Saccharomyces cerevisiae S288C: one gene and its partner. Changing the gene in region 1 together with any one later gene gives a genetic interaction. Each region holds a gene or a part of one and is shown on either strand. Other genes may lie near its edges.

The links.
Region 2: mutations in SPE1 (region 1) and ADI1 together harm fitness less than expected from each alone (positive genetic interaction), as found in Saccharomyces cerevisiae (3 studies listed by BioGRID).

What each region holds. Positions count from the first base shown.
Region 1 is NC_001143.9:94,873-98,632, reverse strand, and holds SPE1 (ornithine decarboxylase SPE1), read right to left. Parts: upstream 1,877-3,760; coding exon 476-1,876; downstream 1-475. Other genes in the region: YKL183C-A (uncharacterized protein), read left to right, coding at 26-238; DNA-binding transcription repressor ASH1, read right to left, coding at 2,368-3,760. UniProt on the Saccharomyces cerevisiae protein: Catalyzes the first and rate-limiting step of polyamine biosynthesis that converts ornithine into putrescine, which is the precursor for the polyamines, spermidine and spermine.
Region 2 is NC_001145.3:282,339-285,141, reverse strand, and holds ADI1 (acireductone dioxygenase (Ni2+-requiring)), read right to left. Parts: upstream 1,041-2,803; coding exon 501-1,040; downstream 1-500. Other genes in the region: ANY1 (Any1p), read right to left, coding at 1-42; YMR008C-A (uncharacterized protein), read left to right, coding at 1,594-2,061; PLB1 (lysophospholipase), read left to right, coding at 2,558-2,803. UniProt on the Saccharomyces cerevisiae protein: Catalyzes 2 different reactions between oxygen and the acireductone 1,2-dihydroxy-3-keto-5-methylthiopentene (DHK-MTPene) depending upon the metal bound in the active site.

The sequences.
Region 1 (3,760 bases):
TATGGTGAACAATCCGAAGTAATGGATGTATTCAAAGATCTTGCTATACCGTAGTAACGTTCTGTTCATGAACTTTTTCTCTGTTTTTGTATGTACAATTGGTACTTTATTTTTGGTTTTCGCAGATGTCTATGTTCTTGCGTCGGCATTTTTCCAAAGTAAAAAGGAAAAAGAGACAAAGTTTAAGCATTTACACTACCAAAAAAGATCTTGTTTCTTTCTAGCAAATATACACTAAACATAAAAAAAAATTATAAAAAATTGTAAAAAAAATATAAAAAAATACTTTTGTGTACAATGGCGTACAGTGGTGGACAGGAAAAATGCCAGAATTTTCTTGAATCATCATTCTCTGACTCTTAAATAGCGTGTATAACTCGTTCATGAACACTCAAATTCTTAGTGACAATGGTTGCATTCAGCCTTTTCCCACCCCCTCCGTCTCTCTTGCGAAAGTCGTGGTTAAATATATCCTTCAATCGAGTTCAGAGTCTATGTATACTATATCCGCAGTCTGCTCAAAGCCGTTGAATTGAGTAGCCGCCGATGATGTGTAGGCACCCAGGGCAGGAAAATAAAACCAATCACCGACTATAACATCATGCTTCATGTAATACTCTTTGGCAATACAATCCAAACCATCACATGTGGGTCCCCAGATGGAAACTTTATATGGATACTCAGATCTTGTTTTGTTGATAGAGTCGAGGACCGCAGTAGTGGATTCAAAATCGTCGTAATGAAATTCCAAATTATGATAAAGGGTTCTTGGATGGGGCTCTTGATGATCGAATAAAATACAATTCATGTTCCCGTATACACCATCGTTAGTGTAAATCATTGCTTCATTCTCAGACAGTTTTCTCTTCGCAATCACATGAGATGCCAAAGTGAACGCTGTAGCTACAAAGTATCTGCCAGGCTCTGCAATTATATCAACACCACAACCTACAGGGAAAAATTCCTCTAGCGCTAGACGCAAAACAGCAGTTGATTCTTTGAAGGATTCAAATTGAAATCCACCACCTACATCCAAAATCTTCAAAGGGGGCAACCCGTATTCGTTAGCAGCTTTGTCAAATACCGTTCTTGCATCTCTAACGGCTTTGTATAAGCTTGTAAAATCAGAAGCGCCTGAACCGACGTGGAAAGAAACACCAGCCAGGTTTAAACCTAGTTCCTTTATAGCCTTTAATAAAACGTCTACGTTTTCCATTTCACAGCCATATTTGGTGGAAAGTCGACATTGAGCGGTAGAGTCATCGGTAGCGATTCTTAATAACAACTGAGACTCAGGATGAAACTTTTTGATTTTATGCAATTCTTCTACATTGTCAAAAGTAGACTTCATTACATTTTTTGAAGCTGCATATCTAATGAAAGATGCTACTTTACAAGGATTAGCGTAAACAATTCTATCCGGCGAGATGTTCATCGATAATACTCTGTCAATTTCCACTTTGGAAGCGCAATCGAAATTAACGCCCAACTCTGCTAATAATGACAAAACCTTGGTATCAGGATTACATTTGACGGCATAAAATGGCTTAATTCTAGGAAGCTCCTTCACCCAGTTGTTGAATAATCTCTTGACTTCTCCCAAATCGCATATGAAAAACGAGTTCTCCTCACCGGGGTCGCACGTTTCATTATTAATTCTACCAATACGAGCCTTGAGCGCTTGAAATATTTTAGGATGCGCTTGTTCATGCGGTAAAAGTTCCAAATCTTGGTTATTCTTTAGTTCAAGCAAAAGATTGTGCAGCGTCTCGCCATCTTTATAATATTGCTTCTTTTGGGTAACCGTAGAATTAGACAAGTCCACTAAAGTAGTAGTGGAACTAGATAGAGCATTTCCTACTTGAGTACTAGACATAGTAAGTTTGAAATTCAAAGGTTTTGATTACTATGAAAAAGTTGTAGAACAATCAAAAAATCTTACCTACTTAAACTTGAAACAAAAGCCGTGCTGAAACCTGGATGATAAACCAAGGAACGAAAAGTTCTTCTGTCCTTTCTATTAACTACACTATTATGATTGAATTTTAAGCTTATTAGAAGCAGGTTCCGCTATTTCAGTGCAATAAATGCTTTTCATTTTCGATTTCAGAATAAAAATCAGGATGACCAATCTATTGCGCAGGAGAAGTTATTAGAATGATTTCACTTCGAAATGGGCGAAAATATCTGCACGGCGCAGATTAAAATTAATCGGTGAAGAAAACGAAGATGCCGCGGCGTGTCGAATGAAAATGAAAGAAAATGAATTTTTATTTGTAGTTTATTTAGCACAGACAAGGAGAGAAATGTACAATTGTTTCGTGATAATGTCTCTTATTAGTTGAAAGAGATTCAGTTATCCATGTATCAATTCTCTACTGTCTCAGTTATGTAATTACAAAATAAGCAACGGTACCCTTCAATTTCGCAGTTGCGTTCGGGGACGAATTCTTTGTCTATTCCATTGGATTTCATAATGTTTATTTCACCCTTTGTGGGGATCTTACGACATAAATCGTTCAAACATCTTGTATGTGTTTTTTTATATCGAAGACCACAAGAGTTACATAGCTGATCTTGCTTTCTTGGCGACCACGATGGCCTCCAACAGGGCGAATCACTCGAATGACACGACACGCACACTCTTGTGGTGTGACGAGTGGGTGATGAGCCACTGGACCTTCTACTTCCCTTTTTCGTTATGCTTGAATTTGATGATCTTCGAGGGCTTTGAGGGGGAGAGTCGAGAGCAAATCTATGATAATTGGGTGACCTTGGGCTTGGAGTGTATGCCTTGGGACGCACAGGTGAGGATGATCTTGATCTCATCTTGCCACTTTTCGTCGGTGTGGAGGGAGATGGAGATGAAGATGCAGAGACAGAACTGTAACTAGCGTTGTCGAGTTTCATCACCAATTGTCTTGCAGTGTTACCGAAAACATTTGATGCTTGCTTTGAGATTTTGTTCTTAGATGGTTTCCTTACATTAGATTTGGAATTGTTCGATAGAATGTCTCTATTCGCAAGCAATTTTTTTATTTGCAAAGCTTTGAAACTGTTCGTCTTTTTGTGACTGGCATTTGGCATGGGAAATGAATTTCCACGTAATTGTCTTTGATGTTTAACTTCTTGAACCAATTTTTCACTAATAATTGGATTGAATATTGAATCGTTATTGCTGGATTTCCCCTCAAAAAAAGAGGCCTCTACTCCTCTAAGCGTCGTGCGCTCCATGGTTCTATTGGTTGGTGGACTCATCGGCGGTGTGACGGGAGGAGTAATACTCCATGCATTGTTGGAAAGATCTTTAAATTGATCTTTAGCTTCTAGAATCGAAGGAATTAGTTTGGTACGATCAAATGATTCCTTAGACGGGGAATGGAACTTGGACGACCTAGTCGATTCCAATTCCTTGCCGTAATTGAAACTATCATTATTTTGATTATTAGTTAAGTTGGGTATACTTAATGGCTTGAAATGAGCCACTTCTTCGCGTATTTTAACATAGTCTTGATAGTTTGTATCCTTACACCAATGGGTAAGATCAGTTTTCCAATTAGATGTACGTTTTGATGTATCAGGGAAGCGTGCTGCGTTTTCTTGTAAAAGAGGACTGGGTAATAATTGCAGATGCCTTAGTGATGGTAGGCTTTGTTGTGGGCGCTCCGGTCTCTTAGATAAAGAGACGGACGATAGCCTGTCTAACAATGGTAGTCGAGGTTGTGAATTAGAGGAAAAACCTAAGCCAGACCCATAGTTC
Region 2 (2,803 bases), on another chromosome or scaffold:
GTCCCTTATTAAAGTAGCATCTAACGGACCTGTTGTTGACATTCTCTAGCTTTATCTGTGGAAAGTATTAATTTTTTATTGAATTTTATAAAGAAAGGAATGCAACAGTATGCGTATAGTTTTTATAAAAAAAATAGGGCGCTGAAACCAAATCAAAATATCAAATGTCGTATCGTTTTTGGCTTTCAGGATTGTTGATGTTTATAAATAGTGATAAGGCTTTGCTTTTTGATATTACGACTATGGCCTATACTTTTCACTATTCTCCATGGAAGAAGTATGCAAATAAATGGAGGAAAAGATGAATACTTGACCAACATCTAAATATAAAAATAATACGAAAATCGTTCAAACTTCCGGTGTTTCTTTTTCCACTTTTGGTGTTTTTTTCTTTTCCTATTTCACAGACTAAAAATCATTCTTGACGGGGAAGTCACCCTACGCTACTTTAAAGATATAAAGAAGTAAGACATTAAGAATAATGTATTATGATGCAGTATTTAGTACTGATTGATCAGGGCAATGTAGTCCTTGCGTACAGGCAATGAATCAGCCTGATTTGACCTGTTGATAGCTTGCCATTTGGGCTCGTCCTTAAACAGTCTCAAGGCCTTGATGTGGTTGCTAGTTGTCAAGGTGAAACGATGATAGATGCCTGGTGGAAGAATCAGTAAATCACCTGACTCTACCAAACACCTAATCCAGTTCTCTGGTGTGGAAGCATCCCTGACGTCAAAGTATCCAGCACCCTCGAGACAGTATCTTATTTCTTCGTCTTCATGTAAATGCTCTTGGTAGAATGTTGCTAGTTTTTCATTAAACTCTGCTTCACTTTTGAAGGAACCTTCGCAGATGTTGACCACATCTCTATTTTTATATTCTCTTTGCCTAGCAATTTCATTCACTTCTTCCTCATTTGCACAGTATTTATAAATCACTCCTAACTTGGCTAATTCATCCAGGGAAAGTTCTGTTCCAGAATTGTGGGGTGCGCGATAATCGGAGTCAACCTTGTTGTCATGAATATATACCTTAACCATTCTAACTTTTGACCTTTTTACGACCTTTTTTAGTGTCTTGTTTGGTGGTTATTGTTTTTTTTGATCTGCAGATGCCACCCTCTTTGTTCTTTTATACTTTGATGTTTTTCAATATGCATATTTCGGTGTTAGCGACTCTACTGTGGCGTCGCCCTGTCGAGCGGCTCTTACAAGGGCCCTTTCAGTCGTCAATGCAAAGAAAACTGGCAGAAATTACCTTCATTGCGCCGTTATGCTATCTTGCCTCTCTCCTGTTATTTAGAAGGCATCTCACTATCTAGACAGACAATACGACTTGCGCACATGTGAATCATTAACAAGATCGTGATTATCGCTACTTCTGCATAGTTTATAGGGAGAAAAAGAGAAGGAAAAAATTGTGTCAAAAACGGGCCAGAATATAAAAAAAAAATATTAATTGAAGAGTAATATGGACTATCGTAAAATACTTGTACTGAACGAGCAGTTAGTCTTGATCTAGAAGAGATGAAAATACCGGTGGGCGGTCGTTCAATCTTCAGCAATTGCAATTTTTTTTACGCATGCAAGATATATGTATGACTTACTCGAGCAAAAATTTTTTGTGCGGGAAATCAAATTCGCTTCAGCCTATTATTTACGCACCGGCAAAGCCCTGAACAATAGCAAGACTCCGATATTTCAGCGAAAGCATTCTTTGCCTGCGTGGCTTTCGTCCGCGGTTATTATTACTGCGCCTGTTAGCAACGACGGAAGTCACTCGATTCTATTTGCTCGTAAAACTCTAAGAATGATAATGCCTATGTTTAGTCCGCTTTTCAACAGAAGTCCTGACGATTGCCCTTCTCATCTGACCGCTACCCATATCTTTCAGCAATTCAGCGCTATGCTGGATTACGGACAGAGTACAAAGGAAGCCACTAACAAGCGCAGGTTAATAAAGGGTTCTGACCTACTTGTTGCCTTGGATCGGAATTGTATTCCTTCAGCCCCCTTTGTCCCCGAAATTGCCCTGCGTAAAAGCGGCGCAGTGGGGTCCTAACGTTTATTCCTTCCAAAGCTTTCTCATGCCACATAGTGCTAAAATAAGTGGACGCATGGGTTTCCTGCACGGACTTCTTCAAAGCGACCTAAAAAGTCCGTTTCTAACTTCGCCTTTCCTCATTATATGCGGTTTACGCCCTTATCTATAAAGGGAAATAACCTCATACAGTAACATGTCCGCTTATTCCCGCATATTTTTCTCAGTTAAGCAACATTCATTTACGTCTCCTATTTTTGCTTAGAAGATGACTTGGTTACTTTATTTTCTTCTAACTGCTTAGGTAAACTACATCATCTAATATATAAAGACGCTTCCACCACATTTAACCAACGGAAACGTCTCTTCGCTGTAAGGTTCTACATTTATTAGGTTATACTAACTAATCAATTCTTCGTTCTTTTCTTAACATTTCTCTCTTTTTTCGTTCATATAACGTAAATTACACGAAGCTATCCATCCTAAGGGCAAACGGGAAAGAAAATAAAACAAAACCATGAAGTTGCAGAGTTTGTTGGTTTCTGCTGCAGTTTTGACTTCTCTAACAGAGAACGTTAACGCTTGGTCACCAAATAACAGTTACGTCCCTGCGAACGTAACCTGTGATGATGATATTAACTTAGTCAGAGAAGCATCTGGTTTGTCAGATAACGAAACAGAATGGCTGAAAAAAAGAGATGCATACACCAAGGAGGCTTTGCATTCTTTTTTGAATAGGGCCACTTCGAATTTCAGTGACACT